Linked DNA regions of Macaca mulatta. The protein of the gene in region 4 purifies or fractionates together with the protein of the main gene of each other region. This does not show direct contact. Links are inferred from orthologs where the notes say so. Each region holds a gene or a part of one and is shown on either strand. Other genes may lie near its edges.

The links.
Region 1: the proteins of ACTL6A (region 4) and KAT5 purify together in Homo sapiens (affinity purification with mass spectrometry; 6 studies listed by BioGRID and IntAct, with this or other methods). This does not show direct contact. The link is inferred for Macaca mulatta from reciprocal best matches to the Homo sapiens genes ACTL6A and KAT5.
Region 2: the proteins of ACTL6A (region 4) and SMARCD3 purify together in Homo sapiens (affinity purification with mass spectrometry; 3 studies listed by BioGRID and IntAct, with this or other methods). This does not show direct contact. The link is inferred for Macaca mulatta from reciprocal best matches to the Homo sapiens genes ACTL6A and SMARCD3.
Region 3: the proteins of ACTL6A (region 4) and MORF4L2 purify together in Homo sapiens (affinity purification with mass spectrometry; 5 studies listed by BioGRID and IntAct, with this or other methods). This does not show direct contact. The link is inferred for Macaca mulatta from reciprocal best matches to the Homo sapiens genes ACTL6A and MORF4L2.
Region 5: the proteins of ACTL6A (region 4) and PHF10 purify together in Homo sapiens (affinity purification with mass spectrometry; 3 studies listed by BioGRID and IntAct, with this or other methods). This does not show direct contact. The link is inferred for Macaca mulatta from reciprocal best matches to the Homo sapiens genes ACTL6A and PHF10.
Region 6: the proteins of ACTL6A (region 4) and DPF3 purify together in Homo sapiens (affinity purification with mass spectrometry; 4 studies listed by BioGRID and IntAct, counting the BioPlex papers as one, with this or other methods). This does not show direct contact. The link is inferred for Macaca mulatta from reciprocal best matches to the Homo sapiens genes ACTL6A and DPF3.
Region 7: the proteins of ACTL6A (region 4) and SMARCB1 purify together in Homo sapiens (affinity purification with mass spectrometry; 11 studies listed by BioGRID and IntAct, with this or other methods). This does not show direct contact. The link is inferred for Macaca mulatta from reciprocal best matches to the Homo sapiens genes ACTL6A and SMARCB1.

Annotation. Positions count from the first base shown.
Region 1 is NC_133419.1:8,680,893-8,685,111, forward strand, and holds the start of KAT5 (histone acetyltransferase KAT5), read right to left. Parts: upstream 2,801-4,219; 5' UTR 2,567-2,800; coding exon 2,389-2,566; intron 2,059-2,388; coding exon 1,990-2,058; intron 1,903-1,989; coding exon 1,766-1,902; intron 1,504-1,765; coding exon 1,321-1,503; intron 1,232-1,320; coding exon 1,157-1,231; intron 1,051-1,156; coding exon 976-1,050; intron 330-975; coding exon 81-329; intron 4-80; coding exon 1-3. UniProt on the Homo sapiens protein: Catalytic subunit of the NuA4 histone acetyltransferase complex, a multiprotein complex involved in transcriptional activation of select genes principally by acetylation of nucleosomal histones H2A and H4.
Region 2 is NC_133408.1:190,675,212-190,678,711, forward strand, and holds part of SMARCD3 (SWI/SNF-related matrix-associated actin-dependent regulator of chromatin subfamily D member 3), read right to left. Parts: coding exon 3,318-3,500; intron 1,558-3,317; coding exon 1,515-1,557; intron 696-1,514; coding exon 573-695; intron 456-572; coding exon 333-455; intron 83-332; coding exon 1-82. UniProt on the Homo sapiens protein: Involved in transcriptional activation and repression of select genes by chromatin remodeling (alteration of DNA-nucleosome topology).
Region 3 is NC_133426.1:110,318,700-110,322,783, reverse strand, and holds the start of MORF4L2 (mortality factor 4-like protein 2), read left to right. Parts: upstream 1-1,284; 5' UTR 1,285-1,349; intron 1,350-2,613; exon of another isoform or gene 2,614-2,690; intron 2,691-4,050; 5' UTR 4,051-4,084. UniProt on the Homo sapiens protein: Component of the NuA4 histone acetyltransferase complex which is involved in transcriptional activation of select genes principally by acetylation of nucleosomal histone H4 and H2A.
Region 4 is NC_133407.1:91,570,826-91,574,942, forward strand, and holds the start of ACTL6A (actin-like protein 6A), read left to right. Parts: upstream 1-1,317; 5' UTR 1,318-1,497; coding exon 1,498-1,522; intron 1,523-1,671; exon of another isoform or gene 1,672-2,046; intron 2,047-4,117.
Region 5 is NC_133409.1:2,313,296-2,316,795, forward strand, and holds part of PHF10 (PHD finger protein 10), read left to right. Parts: intron 1-147; coding exon 148-231; intron 232-1,777; coding exon 1,778-1,911; intron 1,912-2,009; coding exon 2,010-2,159; intron 2,160-2,994; coding exon 2,995-3,104; intron 3,105-3,500. UniProt on the Homo sapiens protein: Involved in transcription activity regulation by chromatin remodeling. Belongs to the neural progenitors-specific chromatin remodeling complex (npBAF complex) and is required for the proliferation of neural progenitors.
Region 6 is NC_133412.1:146,037,055-146,041,252, reverse strand, and holds the start of DPF3 (zinc finger protein DPF3), read left to right. Parts: upstream 1-1,398; 5' UTR 1,399-1,411; coding exon 1,412-1,443; intron 1,444-1,478; exon of another isoform or gene 1,479-1,623; coding exon of another isoform or gene 1,624-2,032; intron 2,033-2,082; coding exon of another isoform or gene 2,083-2,177; exon of another isoform or gene 2,178-2,316; intron 2,317-4,198. Other genes in the region: uncharacterized protein LOC114679596, read left to right, coding at 1,624-2,032, 2,083-2,177. UniProt on the Homo sapiens protein: Belongs to the neuron-specific chromatin remodeling complex (nBAF complex).
Region 7 is NC_133415.1:27,965,597-27,969,682, reverse strand, and holds the start of SMARCB1 (SWI/SNF-related matrix-associated actin-dependent regulator of chromatin subfamily B member 1), read right to left. Parts: upstream 2,801-4,086; 5' UTR 2,644-2,800; coding exon 2,551-2,643; exon of another isoform or gene 2,510-2,550; intron 2,206-2,509; exon of another isoform or gene 1-2,205.

The DNA.
Region 1 (4,219 bases), on a different chromosome or scaffold from region 4:
GGTCTGGAGAAGAGAGGACAGTCAGGAACAAGGGCAACGTGGAGAGTGCTGGGAAGGCAGCTTCCCTGGACCCCTCATACCAAGTGACGCTGAAGACACTTGAGGCTACGGCCGTACTTGAGGCAGAACTCGCACAGGTAGAGAACAGGCAATGTGGTGAGCTCCTGTGGGTACGGGGAGAAGTACCACGGCTTGAGGCGGTGCCGGCCCAGCTCAATGCACTCGATGTTCTTCATCCGGGTGACGATGTCGTCGTGGCTTCGGTCAGACACCAGGCTGCCAGTCATGCGTGGTGCTGATGGTATTCCATCTGAGCTGTCCTGGGAGTCCTGCCCAGGGCCAGTGGAAAATACCAGGTTAGAAGAGACAGCTCAGCAGGACACCACAGCTCACAGCCCTTTGACAGGTTTCCTGCAAGCCTAACAGCAACCCTATGGGGGAGGTACCATGATCCCCAATTTCTGGATAAAAAACCTGAAACCCTAAGGGATTGATGATGTGGAAAAGATCACTGAATGACCCTTGTTTTTGAGATGGAGTCTCACTCCGTTGCCCAGGCTGGAGTACAGTGGCATGATCTTGGCTCACTGCAACCTCTACCTCTGGGGTTCAAGCAATTCTCCTGCCTCAGCTTTCTGAGTAGCTGGGATTATAGGTGCCTGCCACTACGCCTGGCTAATTGTTGTATTTTTATTAGAGACAAGGTTTCACCATGTTCGTCAGGCTGGTCTCGAACTCCTGACCTCAGGTGATCTGCCCGCCTTGGTTGGCCTCCCAAAGTGCTGGGATTACAGGTATGAGCCATGGCACCCAGCCCCAATGACTCATTTGAACCATGTTCTGCCTGGCTCCTAATCCCACCAACACTAGCCCCGCCTACCACCCCTTCTTTATTTTTAAACTCATCACTAACTCTCCACCCTGCTTGCATCCCTTCCTTTTCACCCAGCTCCTTCTGTTGCTCCCCAGACCCACCTCATCAGTGCCCAAACAATTCGATTTTCGCTTCCGTCCTGGCTGGGCTGCCACTGCCCTACGGGCTGCTCCATTCTGCAGATATAGTAGTAAAAGAAGGGATGGCTGTGAGATGAGCCTGAAAAAGGCCACCAGAGAGTAGAAGAGAGAAAGGGAACAAGAAATGGTTTGGGAAACTCACCTGGGGAAAAACCGAGGCCGGGGCTGTCTCGCTGGGCACTGGAGTTGCTGGTGAAACCACCTCCACCTTCCGTTTCTGCAGAGAGAAACCAACAAAGGTGGGTCAGAAGGTAGAGAAGGTGGGACCTGAGAAGAAAGCAAGGTCCCTGGAATTGCTGAGGGTACCGTTGAGCGGTGGTTGGGCTGCAGGCAGGAGCTGGAGGAGAGCGGCTGGTCAGGCTCGCCACCGGGAATGGCCTCCCGCTCCTTGGGCAGGTTGAAGCGGAGTGTGATCTGGACCGGGATTGGCAAGGTCTTCCCGCTTGCCTGGGCCGAGGCCGGCTGTAGAGATAGGTCCAGGGTCTTCCTCTGGGGCGGGGATGGCAGTGGAATGGGGAAGGGGAACAGGGGTCCCTCAGCTCAAAATTATCAAACCCCACCCTCGCCTTCTGAAGGACACAGGACTAGCTACTGGACTCTGGGAGCTACATGTGCAATTCGGCCCCCATCCTTTGCAAGATGAAGTCAGGGTGAGAGGGAGCCGCCTACTGCCCATCCAGGAGCCCCTAATGCCAACAGATAAGAGAAACACGAGGCAGGAGAGAAGAGGTGAAGTGGGGGACCTACTCACCACCTCTCTCTCTGGAGAGCCGGGACGGGACCCAGGAAGTCCGTTCTTGGTGGGGGTCTTGGCCTCTTTCTTCGGGAACTGGATCTTCTTTAGGTCCAGCCGCTCGTGCGTCACCCATTCATCCAGACGTTTGTTGACTGCAGCAGTGGGGATGGCTCAGGACAGAATGCCAAAGACTGTTCCCCAACCCTACCCTGATGCCCCACCTCAGGCCCAGAACTCACAGTCAATGTAATGGACGTAGAAAAGCTTCCGGCCACTGATGTCCTTCACGCTCAGGATCTCAGCCAGGGCTATGGGAATAGCATAGGCAGGGGCCTTAGACGGGCCGGGCCAGGCTGAGACTCCACCCTTCCACGACCTGAACTCCACCCCAAGGCCGGATCCCTAAGCTCCAGCACTTAGAAGGTCTCTCCTAAGTCTCCTTCAGTCACTACTGCCACCCCTTTCCAGGCCCCGCCCTGTACCTCTCGGAGCAGCTAAGAGCCACGCCCCTTCATGGGAGTATCTGCGCCCCGCCCGCCCCATAATTCCAGAGGCCCCTCCCCATCCCGGGGGTTCAGTTGACTCCCTCCCGCCCCTCGCCCTCAGGTTCCTTAGCCCCGCCCCCCAACGTCACTCACGCCACTCATCTTCGTTGTCCTGGTTCCGCCGCAGCACGGGTAGGCGGCAGCCCTCGATTATCTCCCCCTGGGGAGACAGCGCGGCGCCAGGGTCGGCTACTGGGGGGCCTCGGGCTCTACCCACCTCCCCTGGCTCCCTCCGCCCCGCCCCGGGCACCGGACTCACCACCTCCGCCATCTTCCCTCCCTCCACTGCCACTTCCGGCCCCTGTGGGAGACGTCACTTCCGGGACCGAGCCCGCTGTAGGCCCGGGCCTCACGAAGCCCCTGTAGAGGGGGACCTTTGAGAGTCACCGCGACCCAGTTGCAAGGGGCAAGACTGCCCCTGTGACTCCTGGGAAAACGAAGTGTTACAAGCCTCAGGCCGAGTCCTAGGTGGAAACCCCACAACGTGCACAGCGATTGGAGAACTACTGAGTCTGTCACGTGACGCCCACCGGGTGCGACGCTGTTCACGTGGATGCGGAGCGGGTCACGTGGCAATACCGTTTGGGCTTTGACGGAGGGCAGTCCTCGGGCGTCTCCTTGTGGCGGCGGGAGGTGTTGTCGGGAGTGAACTGCGCGCGAGAGGCTGGAGAAAGGAACTGTGCTTAGAGGGGCTCGAACGCTCCCCCAGGTCTGTGGACTTCATTCCGTAGGCAGGAGGACTCAGGGAAGATTTCTAGCTTTATTTCGTGTATTAGGCTTCTTTTATTTTTGAGACGGAGTCTCGCTCTGTCGCCAGGCTGGAGTGCAGTGGCGCCATCTCGGCTCCCTGCAACCTCCGCCTCCCGGGTTCAAGCGAATATTCCTGTCTCAGCCTCCAGAGTACCCAGCTAATATTTGTATTTTCAATAGAGGCGGAGTTTCACCATGTTGGCCAGGATGGTCTGGATCTCTTGACCTCGTGATCCGCCCGCCTCGGCCTCCCAAAGTGCTGGGATTACAGGCGTGAGCCAGGGCGCCCAGCCATATTAGGCTTTTTTTTTGAAACAAGGTCTGTGTCGCCCAGGCTGGAGTGCAGCGGGGGAGGCATAATCTCCGCTCACTGAAGCCTCCGCCTCCCTGGATCAAGTGATCCACCTCAGGCTCCTGAGTAGCTGGGACTACAGGCGCGCACTACCAAGGCTGGCTAATTTTTAAAAATTTTTGCGTAAACAGGATTTGGAGACTGGGCATGGTGGCTCACACCTGAAATCCCAGCTACCTCCAGCCTAATCATGAGAAAAAGATCAGACAAATACCAATTGAGAAACATTCTACAAAATACCCCATGAATACTCCTCAGAACTGTGAAGATGTCACTGGTGGAGGGTGTCCAGATTCTTGGCATCTTAAAGAATTGGACAAAACGGCTGGGCGCGGTGGCTCACGCCTGTAATCCCAGCACTTTGAGAGGCCGAGGCGGGCGGATCACGAAGTCAGGAGATCGAGATCATCCTGGCCAACACGGTGAAACCCCGTCTCTACAAAAAAAAAAAAAAAAAAAAAAAGATACAAAAAATTAGCCGGGCGTTTTGGCGGGCATCTGTGGTCCCAGCTACTCGGGAGGCTGAGGCAGGAGAATGGCCTGAACCTGGGAGGCGGAGTGTGCAGTGAGCCGAGATCATGTCACTACACTCCAGCCTGGCTGACAGAGCGAGACTCTGTCTCAAAAAAAAAAAAAAAAACAGAAAAAGAAGAACAAAAGAATTGGTCAAAACGCACAAAGCAAGGAAGGAATGAACGATTTATTGAAAATGAAAGTACACTCCAGTGTGGGGGCCGGCTGACCATAGGGGCCAGTTACAGGATTTGTTGGAGTTTAAATACTCTTGGGTACTTGGGATACGCCCTGTGTAAATGAAGAGGA
Region 2 (3,500 bases), on a different chromosome or scaffold from region 4:
TGTCAGGACCATAAAGATCTTTGTCCAGCTCGATGACCAAACTCTTGAAGAAAGAAGAGAACTTCCGCTTCTGTTTGCTGGGCTGTGGGAGAGGAACAGGAACCATGGGGGCAGAACAGGGACAGGGTGGGAGAAGCAGAAGGAGGCCAAGTTGGCAGCAGACAGGGCAGTGGGCTTAGATGAAATCCTCTGCACCTGGAATGTCTCTAGGCCTGCCCCCACCTCCCCAGCCTGGGCTGACTCCCTAGCCCTTAGTGCAGACACTTTGTTCTGTTCTCAGTGCAGCCCGTGCCCACCCCAGGACACCTGGAGAGACCTGGGCCGGGACGTACATCATCCAGGAGCTTCCCCTCCACCCGTAGCTCCCAGGAGGCAATGCTGCCATCGGAGTCCTCAGCGTCAGGCTTCGCAGGGTTAAAAGTGTTGGAGATATAGAGACGCAGCTTCCGCTTTTGCTGTAGAAATAGAGTGTAGAACCTGGCAAATGCTGTGTGCTTCCACCCTGACTACCTTGCTTCCCCATCCTGGTCACGCGACTCAAGAGTCCCCTTCCTACCCCCGAACTAAGGCACCTTCATGGGCCTCTTCAGAGCCTCCTGGATGTCCACCCGCTTCCGCATGATGGTTTGATCCAGTTTCCTCTCAAATGCCAAGAGGTCCATGTAAGCCTGGGACTCGGGGACCAGCTCCCGAATCTGGAGGAGGAGGAGCAGGGCAGGAGTCAGAGGCTCGAGTCCAGGGTTGTACCATGGAATGTATGCATGTTGTGCAATCCTAGGGTGCAAAAGATGTCGGGGGAGCCATCCTACTTCTGGGCATGGAGCTTTGACAGTGGGAACAGGACCTCTCCCCAGGATGCCATTATCCAGCAGTAGGGGCCTTGCTGTGTAGGGATAACAATTGCTTCTCCCTTTAGGAAGAGCCTTGTGTATCATCACGGGGAGGAGGTAGCAACTGTGGAACCCAGCAAAGCACTAGCCTTTAGTCTCCTCATCCTGTCATTTTCTATGTCATATGCCCACTGGGCTTCCCCTGGGCCCCTGCAAAGTGCCTAGTAGGGGCTCAATCCCTGGGACAGTTGGACAGCAGTGCTTTCTTCTTTGCTGGCACATTGCTCAGCCCCCACACCTGTCCCAACTGTGCTGTCCCCCATATCCAGCTGGACCTGGGTCCCTTTAGGATGCTCAGGATCTCTGGCCACCTTCTATCCCCTTCATTCTGCCTGGCAGCTTTTGATCCCCTAGCTCTTGCCCCCTTCTTGTCCCACAACTCTGTCTTAGTACCACTTGGATCCAGCCCCCTGACAGGCCCCTGTGTTCTGGCCCCAGTGGCTCTGCTGCTTCCCTCCACCTCACCCCCTCCCTCTGGCCTAGGGAGCCTCACTTACTAATGAGTTTTTTTAAACAAAAAGTGAAAGTGACTGTGACACTGAAGCTCTGCTTTTGAGGGGGGAGGGGAGGGCAGAGCAGCAAAGGGTAGGGGGTGGGCTGGGGGCTGCTGTGAAAGACACTCACCCTTTGAGGGAGGATTTTGTCAGCCATCTTCCTCCTCTTGGCACTGTACATTTTTTAAAGAAAAAACCAGGTTACCATGGCGACAGATCTGGGAGTAACGAGGCCACCTGCTAAATTATCCCGACATCTCCGCCCGCCTGGCTGGGGTTCCCACAGCCCGCTTGTCTGCCCGCCCAAGGGCTATGACGGTGGTGTGTGGAACTGGTGCTCTGTCCTCTCTAAGGACACAGGGGTGACCCGTCCATTCTCTGGCCTGGGAGCCCCCTTCTAACCTGCCACATCCTTAGGGACAGAGAAATTTAGACTTAGGAGGGACTGGCGAGTGGGGGTGGTGCTGCCAAAAGATGGGAGCTGCAGAAGTGTTTGAGGAAAGGTGGGGATGAGGGAGGACAAAGGAGAGGGAAGCCAGGTCTGAGGACCTTTTCTGGAAAGCAGGGGGTGCCCTGTCCAAAGGATTCTAAGCTCAGAGGGAGGGAGATAGACGACTTCCTTCCTATCCATGGAGCGGGAGGTGATGGTGTGAAGCTGGCGGGACTTGCATCCCTTCCAGGCACCCTGGGCTTGCAAGAGAATGCTGATGAGCAGGGGTACTCATGCCCTGGGACTACCTGGCAACAAGGTGAGGGACATGCTGCAGCCATAGGCGCCCAGAATGTGCATGGGTGTGACTTCAGGCTGAGGCCAAACTGACTAGGCCCAGGGTAGTAGCAGCTGGATGTGAGCTCTTTCTGACCCACTAGCTGCTGCTGACTAACCCAAAAACCCCCAGAAAAACCTTGGCGGGTCAAGAGATGAAAACGCAGCCTAGAGAATAGCTCCATACTGCCCCCGTGTGGTGTTCTCAACCACTACCCCCTCCCTATGCAGAAATCTAAGGCTAACAAGCAGATTTCATTAAAGGTCTGGTTTGTTTTAGACAGATTATCTTTGTGTAACTCTCCATTTATACAAGATAAATCAGGGAATTACCGTTTGCTGTACAAAATGACGATGCACTTTACAAAATAATTCATCATGGGATTCCTATAAGTGGTGAATTTTACCTGATGTGTAAAAAATACTTAATAATGAGGTAAAATTGATATTACACCTTTTATAGAAATCCATCTGTTGTGCAAAAAAAGCATGTGTATTTGGCTAAATACTGAAATCCAGAGGGGCACTGCTGTTGCCAGGAGCCAGCAGGGGCTTTAAGGGTGCCACCAGCTGCTGGAGGAAAATAAGGCAATGGGCTGGCCCTGGTGGCTTGGGAGCAGACCTGGTCCAGAGTGCCTAAGAATTAAGAGCGGAACTGGGCAGAGACCACCTACCACAGGGCAAATCCCCAAGCTCCACCCCCAGGGCCAGAGAGTCCCATTGAGAAAATCTGGAGTGGCTTTGAAACAGTCCGGGGTCTGGCAGGAAGGCTCAGCGGAGAACTACACTTTGGGCAACACAGTCCTACAGCTCTGCCCTCAGTCCCACTGGAAGCCCCGCCCCCAACCCAAAGACTGAAGCATCACCCAGAACCTGATGGGTGGAGAGAGGGACTGAGCAGGTGACAAGGAGAAGGGTGAGGGGAACGTGCAGGGAAGCGGTACCGGCTGCCGACGGCCACAGCCTGTCTCTACCGTGGGCACACAAAAGAATCAGGCCGGTGCCCCCTAAGCCCACCTCCCCAGAGGGCATCCGATCCGGGAAGCCTCGCTCCCTGCTAATCATTCTTCCTCACCTCTTCCAATCCCCGCTACTCTCTCACCTGGTCCCTGCGGGTCCCCAGGGCCCGCCCCTGCACGCCCCCTCCGCGCCGGGCCTCCCACTCACCTGCGGCTCCGCGCGGGGGCGGTGGGCACCGGCTGGCCCTGGCTCTGTGCCTGGCTCTGCCCGGGCGGGGGCGCTGCTCGCTTACGGGCGGGCTCCATGCCCGCGGGGGCCAGGCCGGGTCGCACGGCGGGGCTGCCCATGTAGGGGGAGCCCGGGGGGCCCATGGGCGCCCCCTGGTGGGGC
Region 3 (4,084 bases), on a different chromosome or scaffold from region 4:
GAGGCAGGTGAAGTTCAAATCCTGGTTCCCATACTTGTTGTGTGCACTAAGAAAATAATTTGACATCTCTACACATTAGTTTTCAATCTGTAAAATAGGACTGATAATATGGATGGTGTGTGAAAACATATACTGTGCATCATTTATTATTTTGCTTTACATTCTGTAGCACCCTCTAGTGGTGTATACAAAAATATGCATTGCATTTCTACTCTCCAAAGCAGTGGTTCTCAAACTTCAGTGTGTGCTGGAATCACTGGGATAGTTTGTAATAACACAGATTACCAAACCCCACCGTGAGAACTTCTGATTCATTAAGTTTGAGGTGGGACCTGAGAATGTGAATTTCTGACAATTTTTCAGGTGATGCTGATGTTTCTGGTACATCCAGGAAACACATCTTGTGAACCACTGCTCTAAAAAAATCCCTCTTGTGTACAAGTATATAAGATAGATAATTGAAAGGGGTATGATTTTTGTTGTTTGACTTTGATCTAGTACTGCTCATCTAATAAGGACTTGGTGATAAATTAAAAAAAAAATCGACATGAAGGATATAACACAGCATCTAAAATATAGAAAGCATACAAAAAACTGAGGATCACAGAACATAAATCATTTGCCCAGGGTACTGAGACTAGTAAGTGGTGGAATGAGGTTAACAATTAAGTCTCTTTCTCTTACTCCAAAGACACAATAAAGTCTATCAATACCACTACAGAAAATAGGGTGCAAACACACATATCTGATACAAATTTCAAGAGAAAAGGAAAATCAGTTTTCAATACCAGGGTCCAAGTTTTACTGATGAGTTCTTATCTCTTTACTAAAGTAACAGCTATCTGTATTTTCAGTTTGGGTGAGTTGCGAGCATTTGAAAAGGTGAGGAAAAAGGGTTAGGATCTTCAGCATCAGTGCTTGGGTCATTCATTAACTCTTTGATTAAACAAGGCAAGGACAAAAGAAGCGAGGGATGGAGAGGGGCCTTCCCCCCCGCCCCCCCACCCAAGGAGAAAAGGAAAGAAATGAGTAAAATTATTTGGATCTTGGGTCACAGTTCCCTGACTACTAGTGCTATTCACAGAAGCTGATTTTATTTTTTCCTAGGAATGAACGATATCAATGATGCCTTAGATATTAGCGTTCAGCAAATCAAGAAAGGGGAGGGGGGAGGGAAACAAAATCCCAGAATCCCAGGGACCACACAGCCAATCCTTTGCTGGGATTTGGCGGCATCTAGTGGCGAACTCGAGAGGTATAAACCTTACCCACAGAACTTTCTGGAAAATTAACAGTGCGTATTTGCCTGAAGAAGGTCAGTGTGCTTGCTTGGAGATCAGGACGCAAAGGTAAGAGCGCCCTAGTCACCATAAAAATCCGGAGTCTCTAACGGAGGGGAAGGCTGTCATAGATAGATATTCTCATAGGAAAATTGTATTTGTGCCAAGAGAACTGCACGCAACCTTGAAGGGAGGGGGGAGGTGTGGAAGAGGGGAGGGAGGAGGATACTAGACAACTTGAAAGAAGTCTCCCTTTGGAGTTGCTAATGTGACGATGGAAGGCTTTGGCTCTGAATCATTGGAGGGCTGTGGTTTACGACCGGATTTTGGCACAGAGGAGTATTTAAATCAGGGAAAGCCAAAATATTTCTGACAGTGCCCCTTTATCTCTGTTATTGTCGCCTTGCCTTAATTATTTATTTTCATTTTCATTAGAACATTTTCAAACAAAATACAGAAATAGATAACCTGCGCGCAGTAGCTAACCCCTCCCCGCAACTCCCACCCCAATCACGCACGCGGGCGCGCGCCGTGGCTCTCACCAGTCCAGACGCCAGGGGCGCACGCCTGCGCAAACACATCACCTCCAGCGCCACGAGGGCCGCTCACACAGCAACCCCAGGGGCACTCGAGCCTGCCCGCGCACTAACACACTGGCCTTAATGCCTTGCGCCCGTTGCACTCACGACCCTAACTCGCAAACACAGCAGAACCCCCCACTGCGCCTTTTTTTTCCATGTTCGGGGAGTTGCGCCACAGGCCTGGGGGCGTGGCTCCAGATTTGACCTCGCGCTTCCCCACTCGCGGGAACCTTAGCTCATTTCCGCCTATTTCCGCAGGCCACGTAGACACTTCCTCTCCCAGTGGGGGGCTGGGGGGAAACACAAACCCATAATGCCTCCCTGCAGGAAAAAAATTAAAAAAAAAAAAAAAAGGAAAAGGAAAAAAAAAAAAACCTTCTGGTCAGAGGAACTCTGGGTCGTGAAATAGGCCACGTGAACATTCTGCCCTATAGACTTATGACCCAACGGCTGTCACGCTTTTGGAGGGCGGGCTAAAAACCTAAGAGGGCGAACGTCATTGGCCGGAACTCGCACTGACGGAGGAAGAGGATTGGTTTGCTGTAGGCCTTAACAGTGAAGAAGCAGGTTGCTAGCACCCGCCTTTACTGCGGCGAAGTGTCATTGCTGACGTGGGGGTGGTTGTCCAATCATTTGGTTATGGAACATTCTAAAACTTAGACAAGACGATTGTGATTGGCTGAAGGGCATACGCCCTCCTCCAGGGTGACGTGTCTGCCTATGGATATCAGTTGCCAGAGAAACCTGGCTTTACTATGGCGGTTGGAGGAACGGCAGTGATCACACGTCGTCTGCTGGGAAGATCTGGATTCTCGTTTCAGGTTTCGGGGTGGGGGTGGGGAGAAAGGGTCGATGATTTCCTCTTTTCGTCGGGTATAGACGGGATTAGCTAGTTCCTTCACAATCGGTCAGAGCTGGATTCAGATTCCTGCTCGCCAACGCCCAGCTTGGGCAAGGCTCCTGTTCTTTCTGTGTCTCGGTTTCCATGTTTGTAAAATGGTGATAATAATAGTATCTACCTCAGAGACGTGTACTGTATAATGGTGCGTATAAGGCACGTAATATGAAGCCTGGCCCCTGAAGATATTAGCTATTGTTATGGAGATAAATAATACACGTAATAGAATGAGAAAAATTATAAATTATATAAATTCGCTAATTGTAGTGCCCTTTCTGCCATCAACTTCTTTCCTAGAATAAATTAAAGATAAAAGAGATATATCAATTTTTACCAATGAAATAATTTGCTCTTTGGGAATTGCCTCAAAATTGCAGAGATTGTAATTTTCCCATGTTGAAAAGTTAAATAAAAGGTGGGGGGGTGGAGTGCGAGAAAGAAAGAGATGGAGAACGAGAGCGAGCTGGAGATGAACCACATGCGATGAGTAGGCCTTGTTTGGATCCTGAATCGAACACACCAACTGTAAAAATATGTTTAAGACGCATCGGGAAAATTGGAACATGGATTCGATATTTGATGTTTTTTAAGGAATTGATGTCAATTTTTTTAGGCGTCACAGTAGTATTGTGATTATGTTTTCAAATTGTCCTTTTTTGTAGAGACATATACGAAAATATTTACGGATTAAATAATATAATGTCTGGGATTGGCTTCTAAATACATTAATGACTAGGATTTGCTTCAAAATAATCTAAGCGGTAGGGGGAAATGGGGAGGGGTATAGATGAAACAAAATTGACCCTAAATTAATAATAGTTTTTGCTGAGTGATAGGCAGTGGGTTCCGTATATTAATCTGCTTTCCTTGGTATACGTTTAAATTTTTGTATAATAAAATACAGAAGTCAGATATTCCCGTGAGCTTGAAAAAGTCGGGGGTGGGGGGGAGCAGTGGGTGGGGTTATAGATGAAACAAGATGGCCTTCAGTTGGTAATTGTTGAAAGCTGGATGATGGATTCGTGTAGGTTTGTAATACTATTCTTTTATTTCATCCATTTGAAATTATCTTTAAGGAAAAGTTAAAAAAATTGTCAGAAATTATATAAATATACAATAAGTTAAATTTGAAAATGTAGCCACAAGAAAGGAAAAAGAAATACTTGTACATTATTTATCAGCTTTGGTGTCCTTTGTGTGTGATGAAATTGCATTGGCTGATGTAGAAGAAAGCCATATCTCATATCTTTTTATTTTATGTCCTTTCCTGTCCTTTTGTTTGACCTTCTAGGTCACCATCAGAAAAGCTAAGTTTGCTGTATAGT
Region 4 (4,117 bases):
TCCTCACGGAGTCCCTCGTTTCCAGGCCCCACGTTTGGGCGCCACGAGTCCCGGCCCACGGGATTGTCAAAGCAGGCCCTGGAAGAGGGGGTGGGAATTTGGGGAACAAGAGACACGAGAAATGGAGACAAGACAGTATCCTGATCAAGTCTCGTTTAATGGCGGTAATGCAATGCCTTATATACATTTGGAGGGGAAGGGGTTGGGCTAAGGCGGAAATTACCTAAAAAAGGAAGGCGTGGCCAGATAAGCCTCGGTTTCTCCGGTCGGACGTCATGTTGCGCCTGCGCAGTCAGGTAGTCTTGTCCCAGGCGCGGGAAAAAAGAATGAAAAAGAAGCAGGAAGAGCGCCATCTTTTAATGGCGGTATTAATACAGGGAAGAAGGTAAATCTAGGGAGAAGATGTGGGGTGGAAATGAATATAGCTCAGGCATTTAATCTTTAATGATTATTCACTATGGCCGGGCGTGCAGCTCCGGACACTTCACCTCCTGGGTTCAAGCGATTCTCCTGCCTCAGCCTCCCAAGTAGCTGGGACTACAGGTGTGTGCCACCACGCCCAGCTAATTTTCGTATTTTTAGTAGAGACGGGGTTTCACTGTGTTGACCAGGCTGGTCTCGAACTCCTGACCTCGTGATCTACCCGCCTCGGCCTCCCAAAGTGCTGGGATTACACGGGTGAGCCACCACACCCGGCCTGAAATTTTTTTTTTTTTTTTAAGAAATTGATTTTTTAAATCGTTTTTAAAGCGCTACCTAGGTTTAGCTGGGATAATGCATCATTTCATTCTTCTTTTACTTATTAATAACCATTTTAAAAATTACAAGATCCTATCAATTTGTCTGATTTACTGATTCCCCTATCCCAAAGTGGAGCGCAAAATTTTTATTTCTTCAACCTAAAGTTAGTTTAAAATACTTTTTCTGAAGAAAAAAAGAAAGAAATCCACATTGCCCACAGTCACTGGACAGGAATCTCAGCGTGGAGACACACGTTCAATTTCCAGAAGTCTACCTTCCCCTACCCAGGTTCCCGCAGCTCCTCAGCGCCCAGCCGCACCTCTTACGCCCCTCCCATGCTTCCCTCCAGCCTTCCTCCTTCTTCTCCCACTGCCTCCGCCCACTCTCTCGCCCACCCGGGAAGCTCCGCCCGCTTCAGCTCCGCAACCCAACTCCTTCTGTCCGGCTGTCGCTTTCCTCTTTCCCCGCCCCCATGGCTGCCTTCGATTGGCTAAACCTGCTGGGCCGCGGCGGGGATGCGGCGCAGCCGCATTCTGATTGACTAAACGTAGGCCTGGACCCTCGTGATTGGCTGATAGGAGGAGACAGCAAGTGTAGCTGAGCTCCGGGGTGTGTGGACGCCGCTTTGTTGCCTGAGGGGGGTGGCGGTGGAAGTTAAGGGAGTCAGGGGCTATCGCTTCTCGGGACTCGCAGTCGCGGCCACTGCAGTCACTTCTCCAGTTAGCCCTTAGGGTAGGGGTCGCGCCGGCAGCAGCCATGAGCGGCGGCGTGTACGGGGGAGGTGAGTGAGTGCGGCCGGAGGAGAGAGCGCGCGTTTTCGGCGTGTGGGGTTTGTAACCGCCGCTCCCAGCCCTCCCCTCCTCGGCGTTCCCTTCCGGTTTCCCCCTCTCGGGACCCCGGCCTCCCCGCCCCATCCCCGCCCCACGCTCTGCCCGCCCCCGGAGCCCACCAGGCTCGGCCAGCGCCTCGGGCGCCCTGGAGTGGCGGCTCTCTGTGGCCGGTTCCTGCCTCTGCCCCCGGAGAAGCAGGGTTTTGGGATGCACGCTCGTTTCTCTAGAGAGCCTCGGGGCTGGGCGGGAAGCTCAGTCCAGCCGGCCGCCGGGCCCCGGGTTGCGTTACCGCCCCAGGGTCGCATCTCCACGAGTGCCTCCTGGACTCGGCTGTGTCGGGGCGCATGTGCTCGCGCCTAAACTTGGAAGGTCCCGGCGGTTTGCAAGCGTGGACGGAGGGTTCCCAGAGCGTCTCACAGGTGGCAATGCGAGCCTCAAGCCGTAGAACTGACTAGGGAAGCGGCGGCCACTTAGGGTACTGCCTCCTCCCTGTCTGTGCCCCATGCGCGAGCTGCCTCACCTTTCAGTAACTCCTGCCTGTTTGTTGGCTGCGGAGTCTCCAGAGTGACTCGTGGGCGGGTCTGTTTGAGATTAATTCAGGAGCACGTGTAGTTTAAGGATGCCCAGAAAGTTTGCCGGGGGTCCTAGGCGTCTTGTTTTTTCACTTATCCTTGATTAGACTGGTGTGGCAGAAAGATTACCAGGTGCGGGGGGTTACAGACCTGAGTTGAAATATCCGCCTCACTGTTGAGCGCTTTGGTCTTAGGCAATTTACATAATTTTCCAACTTCAGGCCTCATTTGTGGAATAATTCCTAGCCAATGGGGATGGGCGTAAAGGTTAAATGAAATAATGCTACATTTGCCACTTAAAGTCTGGTCCATGGACCAGCAGTGTCAGCATCACCTGCAAGCCTCTTAGAAATGCAGAATCTCACGCGTCATTCAAAATCTACTGATTTAGAGCCTCCATTTTTGCAAGATCTGCAGGTGAATCAAAACACTGATACATATAATTAATGTTTTGGGTTGTGTTTGATGAGTTAGAGACCCAGAAAACAAATCCAGACTATTGCTATTGTTGCTGTGTCTAGTAGTGATGCTGTTTCTATAAAGGATGTCATTTTACAGGTAAGATACAACAAAAATAAGATTTTTCCTTCATGTTCCCCAAGAAAATCACATCACCCCTAAACTTGGAAGGAGAAAAACATTTAAATCCTCAAAAAAGAAAAAAAGCCTTTTTAGTAGAATAGAGGTTCAATTCTTTTTTTTTTTTTTTTTTTTTTGAGACGGAGTCTCGCTCTGTCGCCCGGGCTGGAGTGGGCTGGAGTGCAGTGGCCGGGTTTACGTCATTCTCCTGCCTCAGCCTCCCGAGTAGCTGGGACTACAGGCACCCGCCACCTCGCCTGGCTAGTTTTTCTGTATTTTTTAGTAGAGACGGGGTTTCACCGTGTTAGCCAGGATGGCCTCGATCTCCTGACCTCGTGATCCGCCCGTCTCGGCCTCCCAAAGTGCTGAGATTACAGGCTTGAGCCCCCGCGCCCGGCCGAGGTTCAATTCTTGAGGATTTTTATACACTAGAAATTGCATCCTAGGTTTTAAACATCCAGAACTCTGTGGTTCTTTCTACTAAGCCTCCTGCCTCCCATTGCCACTCTCCTACTTAGGGTTCATGGGGCTTGATTTTTAATGAAGCAGGGTACAGGAATTAGATGTATCTCCCATCCTGAAAAAGGAACAGATGTAAAATTCTAAGAATTTAGAGTCTTAAATTAAACTTCCACCATATCCAGTTTACTAATTAGGGCAGGAAAATGAGCTGATATGTTGGATTTTTTTCTATTTCACAAAAATGTTTTTTGAGCACTATGTGGCAGGTATAGGCTGTTGTCATCAAGAAGTTCAGTCTTGTAGATGAATCCGTTAGGTAAATAGACACCATATTTCACCGATTCTTAATTGTACATTTTTCCCACATTTAAACAGCTGAAGTTGGAATATGTCTTTTGTTTGTTTGTTTGTTTTTAATAGAGACGGGTCTTGAACTCCTGAGCTCAGGCAGTCCTCCCGCCTCAGCCTCCCAAAGTGCTAGGATTACAGGTTTGAGCCACTGCCCCCAGCCGGAATATGTCTCAGTAGTGCTGGCCTGGCAGAGTTTTAATTGCCATATTATTTTCTTAGTGATGCCGGAAATAGTGGTGCATCATGTAGTTGATAGCATCTTATATTGATCAGAAATGGTAACTGTAATTCAATGAGAGCTGTTCATTGATAACAATATGTAGAAGGGGCCAGGTGCGGTGGCTCACACCTGTAATCCCAACAACTTGGGAGGCTGAGGCGGGCGGATCACTTGAGGCCAGGAGTTCAAGATCAACCTGGCCAACATGACAAAACCCTGTCTCTACTAAAAATACAAAAATTAGCCAGGCATGGTGGCACATGCCTGGAGTCCCAGCTACTGGGGAGGCTGAGGCACAAGAATCACTTGAACCCGGAACTGCACTCCAGCCTGGGTGACAGAGCAGGACTGTATCCTAAAAA
Region 5 (3,500 bases), on a different chromosome or scaffold from region 4:
TTTGTAATATTTTTTGTTGCCCCTTTAATAATATTTGGAATATGTAATATGAATATTTTAAAAAATCAAGCTTTTTAAGCTTTTAAAAGGTTTACAAATGCATAAGGTTTTGCTGTTTTTAATAGTCTTTTGATCTTTTTTTTGGAGATTTAGAGCGACGAGATTTGTCTCACAAGGAGAAACTCTACCTGAGAGAACTAAATGTCATTACTGAAACTCAGTGCACTCTAGGTAAGAATAGCTTTTAATGTGAATTTTTCAAGCTGAACATTTATGAGATGATATTGGATAAGTATGTTCTTTCCTAAAATATTTTACAAAATTAGTAAAATAAATTGAACTATTTAAATGCTACATTATTTACTTCATTTTTTATTATTGTTAAAATGCACAGGAGATTAAAGCTTGAACGTTCACACATGTGATTCCTGACTTACGGTTCAGCTTCATGATGGTGTGAAAGTAATGCATATTCAGTAGAAACCATACTTCAAGTGTCTATACAACCATTCTTCTTTTCATTTCAGTATAATATGTAACAAATCACATGACATATTCAACACTTTATATTAAAATTTGTGTTAGATGATTTTGCCTAGCTGTAGGCTAATGTAAGTCTTCTGAGCAGGTTTAAGGTAGGCTAGGGTAAGCAAAGATGTGTGGTAGGTTAGGTGTATTAAATGCTTTTTCTTTTTAGGATAGTTTCAACTTAGGATGGGTTTATCATATGTAACCCCATTGCAAGTCAAGGATCAACCTCTATTCTATAACAGAGTATAATTGTCTAATTTTTTTTGACACAGAGTCTTGCTCTGTTCCCCAGGTTGGAGTGCAGTGGCGCGATCTCAGCTCACCGCAACCTCCATCTCCCGGGTTCAAGGAATTCTCCTCCCTCAGCCTACCTAGTAGCTGGGACTACAGGCGCACGCCATCACACCCGGCTAATTTTTGTATTTTTATTAGAGACAAGGTTTCACCACATTGGCCAGGCTGGTCTTGAACTCCTGACCTTACGATCCACCCGCCTTGGTCTCCCAAAGTGCTGGGATTACAGGCATGAGCCACCACGCCCAGCCCTTGTCTAATAATTTTTACAGAGTTTTCAGAGTGTTTGTATTTTGTGTGCAAAGCTTGTACAATTTTCTTTTTTAAGTCGTAGGTTCTTTGCTGAGTGCATGGTGTGTGTCTGTAGTCCCAGCTACTTGGGAGACTGAGGGAGGAGGATCACTGGAACACAGGAGTTTGGGGTTGTAGTATGCTGTGATCATGTCTGTGAATAGCCACTGCACTCCAGCTGGGCAAGATGACGAGATCACATCTCTAAAATGCAAAAAGGCAAATTTTGTTCAGTTGTTAGTTCTGTATAATTATGTCCGTGCTTTATTTGTAATCTTTCTTTCACAAACATTTTAATGCAACGAATTTTTTTCTTTTATTCATCCAGTATTCTGTAGTACTTGTTAATAGTGCATTTCATTATTTAACAGTTGTTTCTAACTAAAGGGATATATGTTCAAAGCACAAAAAATCTTAAAAATAAAATTGTTTGATTGAAAAATTGATATATTTGCCTTTTGCAAGATAATCTTTTAATTGCTTGAGTTTATATTATTAATATTAAGTTTAATTATTTTCCAATGTACTAAGATATTTTGCTTTGGCTATTTGAAAACCATTAAAATGTGGAGCGGTTTGAAGAAGTAAATTTTGAAGAGTGCTTTTGTTCACTTATCCTTAAAAGAGCTTCTTTATTTTTTTATTTTTTGGTCTAAAATAGGTTTAACAGCATTGCGCAGTGATGAAGTGATTGATTTAATGATAAAAGAATATCCAGCCAAACATGCTGAGTATTCTGTTATTCTACAAGAAAAAGAACGTCAACGAATTACAGACCATTATAAAGAGTATTCTGTAAGTAATTGAGGTGACTGGCATTTTTTATTTGGGTTGGGGAGAATGACATTTTATAAAGTTGTATGTGACTTCCAACTGTATATTTTTTTTTCCAGCAAATGCAACAACAGAATACTCAGAAAGTTGAAGCCAGTAAAGTGCCTGAGTATATTAAGAAAGCTGCCAAAAAGGCAGCTGAATTTAATAGCAACTTAAACCGGGAACGCATGGAAGAAAGAAGAGCTTATTTTGACTTGCAGACACATGTAGGATAACTTAAATTTAGTACCCCTGAACTTAGTTTATTACTTGTTATTGCAGAGTGCCGATTACCCCCTTTATCATTATTTTTTGTACCACCTTTTTTTTTTTTTTTTTTTTTTTTTGGCGGAGTCTCACTCTGTAGCCCAGGCTGGAGTTCAGTGGCGTGATCTTGACTTGCTGCAACCTCCACCTCCCGGGTTCAGGCGATGTTCCTGCCTCAGCCTCCCCAGTAGCTGGCATTACAGGCGCCTGCCACCACACCCAGCTAATTTTTTGTATTTTTAGTAGAGATGGGGTTTTACCATGTTGGCCATGTGTTTTTTTCCTCCTCGGAAGTTGAGATACTAGTTTTAATGCTGTGCTTAATAATACTCAATTTACATTTTTTTGTGAGATGTCTTTTGCTTTATGGTTGATAGTTCTACTAAATGAGACTAATAATTGCTACATATCATACTTGCTATGTGTCCCAAGAGTTTTTAAAAGAGATTTGCATGTTAATTCTCACAGTAACCATGTGAGGTTGGAACTAGGATTACTTCCATTTCATAAAGAAATTGAGCTACAGAGAGGTCGTATAAGCTACCTAGATCACTCTGCTGTTAAGTAGCGAGCAAGAGATCCATTGCCATTCCTCAGGAGAATAGGCCTCTGAAACGATAATATATAGAATTGAAAGCACCAACTGTCCTCTTAGGTTATAGCTCCCAATATCTCTTAAAATTCTAGCTTTTCTAGGGAGAAGTGGGCGTGCAGTGGAGAGCATGTGGGGACTCTTCCTAAAACCTTGATTCTTAGCATGGAATCAGTTTTGTGTTTCTCTTTATGTTAACATAGGTTATCCAGGTGCCTCAAGGGAAGTACAAAGTTTTGCCAACAGAGCGAACAAAGGTCAGTTCTTACCCAGTGGCTCTCATCCCCGGACAGTTCCAGGAATATTATAAAAGGTATTTAGTAGTTTTAGTTACACTTGGTATTGGCTATTGGTAAGGGGTTTCAGAGCCTTTTGTACTTGCCTCCTAACAATTATGGGGTCTATAGATATCACCATAAGATACTATATAGGATTTGTGTTGCTGTTCTTCTCTGGTTCTGTGGTAAACAACACCCTGTAGTCGGAATTTGAATATATGCTGATGAAATCTGGATGCCTCTGTCTCTGCCTATTTTGTTTGGGTTTGTCAGAGACAGATGCTGGGAGTTCTATAGCACCTCACTGCTCAGGGTATGTTCTGTGGTCCAGAGCACTATTATTGCTCAGAAGCTTGTTGGAAATGCAGAATCTCAGGCCCAATTCTAGACCTGTGACTCAAAGTCTGCATTTTAACAGATGTCTGTATAAT
Region 6 (4,198 bases), on a different chromosome or scaffold from region 4:
TTTCTGTTTATCTGTAAATCTAATAGCGTATGTAGTTGAACTCTTGAAATTCTGGAATGTTTATTTTATTTTATTCATTGTCTTGAGAGGAGCAAAAGGAAGTGAGAGGGCATAGCTTTGAACTGGCAATTTGGCAACTTCTCTCCCCTTGCCACCCCTCCCCCACTATCTTAGCTATTTGACCTGATTAAACAGCTTTGGAATGGTAGCCAGACTTCTGTATGCTAACGAGGCCCCTACCCTATTATCGATTTAATGCGATTTCATCCACGCAGAGCTTCCCGGTGCCCAGTGGAAGCCTGACTTCGCAGAAGTCTCCCAATTTTGTCAGGGGCTCGCCAGTGAAGAGTTCACACTGACTTGAAGCAGACACAGACTCTTTGGACGCCTCGGGTCACATCGGATTATTCACTAGCAAATTCTTTCCACCTTCTAAGTAGTGAAAGGTGACGTCAGAATCGCGTGTGCCACTCCTCTAAAGGGACTCTGACAACACCCAGTCCAGGCTCTACGACTTCTGCCTAGGCACTTGCTTCCTAGTAGTAGAAAGTTTCCAAAGGTTGCCTGAAGTCCTCCCTACCTCTAAGCCTAAAGGTCAGAGCTCCAGGTCGCACCACCGAGCAGGAATCTGAGCATTTTGGAAGTTTCTGGTGTAGGGAGCAGAACAGAAGGGGTGGTAGCGGCGGACCGCGCAGAGTAACCCCCCTGCACTACGTAAAGAAAGCCCTGGCTGCAGGAGGGAGTGAGCCTGACATTGAGGCATTCCAGGGGGAGGGTGAGTTGCTGTCCTGGAGTCGCCAGGAACAGCAGCGGCAGTTCCAAGAAGCGAGAGAGGAAGGTGGCGGAGATAAAGAGAACACTTCGGGAATAAGAATATTAAAAAGCAGCAGGACCCAGAGCATTAGCAAACGGCAAAGCACACGAAGTAATTTGTTACACGAAACGGCAGCCTTCCAACTTTTGTACTGAAACACGGGGATTTACCCTTTGGGGGATTAAAAATGTTGATATGCAAAGCCAAAAGCTAATGAATAGGATTCAGTGGCTTGCTGGCAATATTGAAATATTTCTGTCCAGGAGCGCAAACTCTGCAGTTATTTAGAAAAGTAGGGAGTTGAACCAAACTATAATATTCTCCCGTGCGTCTCCACTTTCCCCAGCCCGAAAAGGAGCTGCCAACGCGGTACTTCCCCTTTAAGACCTGCTGGCTCTCGGGCTCTACAAAAGGGAGTGACCTCTGGGCTTTGACAGCTCCCCTAATAACTACCACCGAGCAGGCCCCGCCCACCTGGCGACCAGCCGCGCCGATTGGCCGGCGGGCCGGTATCCCGCGCTCTGATTGGCCTGTCGCTTCCCCTGAGCGAACCTTTAGAACTCTGAGACAGACAATATTCTGTTACATTGTAGCAAAATGGCGACTGTCATTCACAACCCCCTGAAAGCGTAAGTAAGACTAAAAAATGTACATATTCCGCGTGGTTTCAATATGAAAAAAAAGGCGCCTTCTGCGTGGCGAGCGCTGCCAGTGCTTGCGCTTGCAGGCGCCTCCAGCCGCGGCGGGGCTTCTCTCTTCTTTCAGCTCTTACTTCTTTTTTTTCCCCCAACGCGCAGAAATGTCAGGAGATGCAATTAACAAGAAGAAAATTGTTACATTTGTGTTCTGCTAAATTGCAGAGAGAGCGAGAGATAGGGGTTGCCGGCGGAGGAGCCCGGCGCTCGAGCGCTCTACAGCAGGGGGGTCGCGGGAGCTCGGGGACAGCGCGGTCCCTGGAGTCCCCCGCCTCGCGGGCAGGGAGCGAGGCTCCGGGGGCGGCCGGGCGGGGGGCGAGCGTCGGGCCGGGACTGCCTCGGTGCACTTGGCCGAGCCCTGCACCCCCAAGCCCGCGGCCCCCGCCCCGCCGCTGGGTCTGCTGGGTCCGGCGGACGCACCGCGGAGGCTCCGGAGTTTGCAGGGCGCTCTTCGCCTTCCGATCGCTCGCGGGGAGTTTGTGCAAACCTTCCGGAGTTGGGAGCACCGAGGGGGAAGCAGCGGGTCCCGGGCGCGCTGGGTCCCAGGTGGTCGCCCCGGGCTTTCCCCGGCAGCCCCCGGATCTCGGAGGCGCTCCGGGCGACCGCGCGTGTGTCTGCTCGTGTGTTTGCGAGCAACCTGGCTGCAGTGGATTAACGACTCGGGTTAACTTGGGGTGGATTTGGAGGCAGGGAAGCCGCAGGTCTTATGAATGGTGTTCTCGCCACCTCTGGGTGAGGCGCCGAGGCAGGCGGAGAGGCGGTTTTGGGGCTCCTGGCCCGAGGGGGCAGCGTCTGCTCCCGGCCGGGCGAGGGGCAGGTGCCTCTGGCCGCCCCGGGGAGACTTTGAGCGCTTGTCCAGATCCTGGACAGAGTGGGGCGGGCCGGGCGAGCACTCGCGGGGGCCAGCCCCGGGTCCAACAGCCAATTTCTGCCTGCCTGCCTGCCTTCCTCCTCCTTTTCATCCTGGCTTCCTTCCTTCCTTCCTTCCAGTCGGTGGAACTGTTAAGCCGCCAAGTCCGCTCGCGATCGCGGAGCCAAGGGTGGCCTCGGAAAACTAGTGTCGCTCTGAAAGGGGTGCTATTGGGTGATGTCGGCAGAGGGTGGCTCCCTCCGTATTCGAGGTGGGCTGGGGGTCCGCACCCCTTCGACCGGGACTTCCCCGCCCGGACGAAGCCGCAGGCAAAGAGGGGGAGAGGGAGGTGCGGGCCGGGTAGGGGGCGGTTCGTGCCGAATTCTCCCTGGTGCGTGGCCACTGTCGACCCTGCTTCTTTTAATTCAGCGCATTCTCGTCTTCACCCCTCGCCACTCCTGGAGTTGAAAACCAGGTTCGCTCCCGGAGACGGTAGGGGGGTTCCTAACGCAAAGGAATGCACAGGGAGAATCAGACGTGTTTGCACCAGCTCGTCGCCCACCAGAAATAGGGAAACGGGTAGGAATGCCCCAGGTTTCAAAGATATTTATATGAAAGCTGCCGTTAAGAGGACGTTGGAAGCTGAGGCTGAGCAGATAGGAGCTCCCGGCTTCAGTTCTGCCTCGGAAGCTCGGATACACTGCACTTGAACGCCACAGCGTTTCATCCAAGAAAGAAAATGTTTTATGGCAGAATAAATGGGCGTAACTTCGCCGCATCCTCGCTGCCGGTTGCTTTCGCTGCAACACCGCTGATGCTGTCTCTACCGAACCCACAACTGATTTGCAGTTTCCCCATATCCAGCCGAAATCACATAACCAGGCTGATGCCACCTGGTAAACTCAAGTTAGAGAATCTATTTCACATGTGCACCAGGTTTGTTTCCTACTGGGAAAGCCGTACCCTACTTACCCGGGAGCCCGCTTTCGCGCGGGCGGGCGCAGTATCTCTAAGCTTCAGTGTTCCCCTGCTCGCTCCAGGGTTTTTTTGGATCACAGTAGGGTGCGCGTTTGGGGAGGGAGTCTGTGTAGGGTGGGGTTAAGGGTGGGGGAAGGGACAGACGGGGGGAAAGAAGGTGGTGGAATCCCGGCTGGTTAGGGGAATTAGTTCTGAATTGTACTTTGTATAATTAGAAACAGTTGCAATGTGATGTATTTGTAATTGTGCCGCCACACGCATGCACACACTAGCATACACACAACGCCCCTGCTTGCTTTTTCTAGGTGGGAGTTGAGTGGTCATTTATAATTAGCCATTCCTTTCTGCTTCCCAGACCCTTTCCCTGGGGGTAAAGGGGTGTAAACAATACCCCTGACCAGCCCAGCCTCTCACACCCTGGACAGTTTTTAACTCCTAATGCAGGAGCACACACGTTGTTATTGGGAGACGGACACCATCTGCCTTTTTTTTTTTTTTAAACAACTTGTTTAATAAAACATCTTATATATTTCATTTGTTTTTAAAAGTTGCTGATCAGGAAACAATACAAACGTGAATAAATTATGCATGGGATAAATTAGAACAAAGTGCAGAGACACATCCAGCCGAAGGGATGGTGGTGGTGCAGGGAGGAGGGGTAGCGGAGAGAATGGTTTGGAGAGCTATGTTTTTATCCTCATGTGTCCCTCCTGACAATGAAACAGAGCTGAATGACATTAGCATTTTCTCTGTGTGCGTTCTGAGTCTCTCTCTTCCCTCCAAAAAAAAAAAAAAAAAGCCAACACCACGGACGCCCCCTACAGAAAATGGTCACACAAAGGTTTCCTCAGGATGGGGGAT
Region 7 (4,086 bases), on a different chromosome or scaffold from region 4:
GTTGGTGTGCTGCACCCATCAACTCCTCATTTACATGAGGTATAACTCCCAATGCAATCCCTCCCCTCTCCCCTCCAAACTGATTACTTTTACACCCATTAGATCAGGTAAACAATTCGCCTAGTATTGAAATTCAACAGCCTTTTGCATTCTGCAGTTAGGCAGGTGCCTACCAGCCAATGAGGACCATTCTGAACTGTGGCAGATGGACAGGCACTGGCTCCACCTCCCCAGCACTGACATCTTTGAACAGTTGTAGTTTAAGTGACAACGTGAAAATTTTATTGCATCCTGCATTTTTTGTTTTACAAAAATTGATGGAGGCCAGGCACAGTGGCTCATGCCTATAATCCCAGCACTTTGGGAGGCCGAAGCAGCCAGATCACTTGAGCTCACAAGTTTAAGACCAGCCTGGACAATATGGTAAAACCCCATCTTTACTAAAAATACAAAAATTAGCCGGGTGTGGTGGTGTGAGCCTGTAGTCCCAGCTACTTGGGAGACTGAGGTGGGAGGAGGGCCTGCGCCTGGGAGGCAGAGGTTGCAGTGAGCCAAGATTGCACCACTACACTCCAGCCTGGGTGATAGAGTCAGACCTTGTCCGGAAAAAAAAAAAAAAAAAAAAAAAAAAGGGTGGAAAATGCTAACACTAAAGTTCTGATGCTATTGACCTTAGTCTCAATCCATGGGACTCAGTGTGACCATCTTGAGGCTTCATTCATTCATGCTATGCTCAATTGTGAAAGAAAAAAAACCCCGCAAGTTTAAAAAGTATGAATGCGCTGAGTGTGAGTGTGGTGGCTCACACCTGTAATTCCAGTACTTTCAGAGGCTGAGGTGCAAGGATCACTTGAGCCCAGGAATTCAAGACCAACCTGGGTAACATGGCAAAACCCCGTCTCTACAAAAAATACAAAAATTAGTCGGGCATGGTGGTGCAAACCTCTAGTCCCAGCTACTTGGGAGGCTGAGGCAAGAGGATCGCTTGAGCCCAGGAGGTCAAGGCTGCAGTGAGCTGCGATCACACGACTGCACCAAAGCCTGGATAACAAAGTGAGACCTTTTTTCAAAAATAAAAATAAAACAAAGCATGAATACAATGCTGGAATATGATACTAAAAACTGCTACAAGGAGAAGAAACTCATTGCATTTCTTTTTTTTTTTTTTTTTTGAGACGGAGTCTCGCTCTGTCACCCAGGCTGGAGTACAGTGGCCGGATCTCAGCTCACTGCAAGCTCCGTCTCCCAGGTTTATGCCATTCTCCTGCCTCAGCCTCCCGAGTAGCTGGGACTACAGGCGCCCGCCACCTCGCCCGGCTAGTTTTTTTGTATTTTGTAGTAGAGACGGGGTTTCACCGTGTTAGCCAGGATGGTCTCGATCTCCTGACCTCGTGATCCGCCCGTCTCGGCCTCCCAAAGTGCTGGGATTACAGGCTTGAGCCACCGCGCCCGGCCTCATTGCATTTCATGACAGCTTTAATTCTCCAGGATTGGCACTTACTTCCTTACATGAGACTCCACTGCTTGACATTTGTACATCTGAACTGCATATCCATAATTTTTTTAAAAAGGTAACATATACTAGCTGGGGACTGCCTTTGGAGCAAAAAAGGCTAGTTTGAGACAATCTGGAAAAACCTAATATATGGCCAGGCGTGGTGGCTCATGCCTGTAATCCCAGCACTTTGGGAGACCCAGGCAGGCAGACTGCTTGAGCCCAGGAGTTGGACACCACCCTGGGCAACATAGCAAGACCCCGTCTCTATAAAAAACGAAAAACAAGAACCTAATATACTGGGAACAAACACCCATTAAAGGCCAGTTGTAGGGTTTTCCTAAAGTCAGTCATCCAGTTGATGCAACAAAATGCAGCCTCTCTAGTTAAGGGTTAAACATTTTTAGGCTCTTTCCGCTGTAACAATTCAGAATCAGTTCACAGATATGGAAAAAGTGTCAATTGCTTCAGAATTGCTGAAAGATCTGGCTTAGGCATGGGGCCCTTATTCACCCAAAAGCAAACACCCTCCAGTCTGTTTCTTCACTGGTAAAAAGGTCAAAACACCTCCACTGCCCACCTTAGAGGCAACAAACACAATGGGGATGAGCCCTCACTAAGTCCGGGGTTTCCAGTCTGCCATTTCAGGTTCCCACAAGTAGCAATAGGAGGAGGGGCGCATGTGAAATTTACAACATCTAAGGGTCAAAGGCAGCAGTGCGGTCCCCCAAGCATCGCAGGAGCTAACTCAATATCTCGTTAATTTGCGTCTGGCTGGAAACCAACCCAGCGCGGAACCACTGGGGACCCTCTCGGCGCCAAAATCCTGGTAGCACTACAGATCGCGCACCTCGGCGAAATGGGTAAGGAAATCCCAGGTCGATGAGGGGGCGGGGGCCATGCCCGACACGCCCACTAGGCCACGCCCTGCAGCCCCGAGCGCGCGCGCGCCCGCCCGCCCCGATGAATGGAGACGCGCGCTCTCGGCGCATGGGCCTGCCCCAGGGCTCCCGCGGGGCCGAGCCCGGGGAGGGCGAGGACGCGCCGCGGGCTACCTCGGAGCCGATCATGTAGAACTCGCCGTCGTCCTCCAGCTGGAACTTCACGGGCTTCTGCCCGAAGGTCTTGCTCAGCGCCATCATCATCATTGCGGCGGCAGAAGCGGGCGGCTGGAGCCGGGCTGCGAGAGATCGGGAGGGCTGGGGCGGGGCCGGGGCGTGCCGGGCCGAGGGAAACCGAAGCCGGAAGGCAAAATGTGGACCGGGCCGGGTACTGGCGCCTTAGCCGGGCTCCTCAGCCGCAGCCGCCGCCGCAGACGACGACCAGGCCGCCCTCAGTGCGCAGGCGCTGGCGTTGACGCTGACGCGCGCGCCGCCGCTCAAACAAAAGGCCGGGCGCGCCTCCGCGGACCCCTTAAAGGAGCCACGACTAATTTCTCTTTCTCCCAGGCTGCTTCCCAAGTCGTGGTGTAGAGGACTTCTCACGGACAAAAATAGCCACTGAGGTCCTGAGTCAAGCAGTGGCTTTCCAAGTCTTACAGCCAGGACTGGAACTGGCCCAGGGGAAAAGAAATGAAGTGAGACCTGAAGGAGGAGGACCTAGTATCTGGAAGCCTGAGTGGTCTTGGCATGCTTTGGGACCCCAGGCTCCTGCCTTAGCTTCCCCACCCCTAAAACGCAGTGCAGCTGAGCAGATAGGCAGGCCCCTAGGAACAGATATCCCAGTTCCGGGCCTATGGCTGTCCCTGCAGTTGTGGAGGTGGGCAAAATGACAACAGCAGATGAGGCTTGGCAATGTTCAAAGGCCCAGGTGGTATTTGGTTTGGCTGGTGCGTCAGATGAGCGAGAGTTGGAAGGGAGGGACACCTTCCACCTTCTCCATTCCCCTCTTAGCTTCACACTCTGCTTAACCCAGCCCTATGGTGGGGAGCGAAACCAGGCAGCCCAGTCCTTCGGCTCTGCCTCTTGGCTCTTACAGCCTGAAGCTAGTGAAACTAATGAAAGTCTCAAAGCAATCACGTAACTGATTGAATAATGCAGGGAGTAAAACAGTGGCCCACTACTGATGATTTCATACGGTTCAGTCTAATGAAATTGCAGCTGTGGCTGGGCTCAGTGGCTCATGCCTATAATCCCAACTCTTTAGGAGGCCAAAGCAGGGAGGATCACTTGAAGCCAGGAGTTTGAGACCAGACTGGACAAGACAGCAAGACCCTGTCTCTACAAAAATTTTAAAATAAATAAGCTGGGTGTAGCATGGTGGTGTGCACCTGTAGCCCCAGCTACTTGGGAAGTGGAGTGGGAAAGATCCCTTAAGCCCAGGAGTTCAAGGTTATAGTGAGCTGATTGCACCACTGCACTGCAGCCTGGGCAACAAAGGGAGACCCTGTCTCTCTTACAAAAAAAAAAAAAAATGCAACTATGATAAATGCTATTACAAAAACACACATGGGGCTGGAAGGTAGGGCAAGGAGACACTGGAGAGTTGGGAAGGGCAGTGACTGAAGTTGCTTTGTTCAGTATCCTCACAGTGGTGGGAAACCAAAGTACAGTAATCCCTCAGTATCCATGGGAATTGGTTCCAGGACCCCC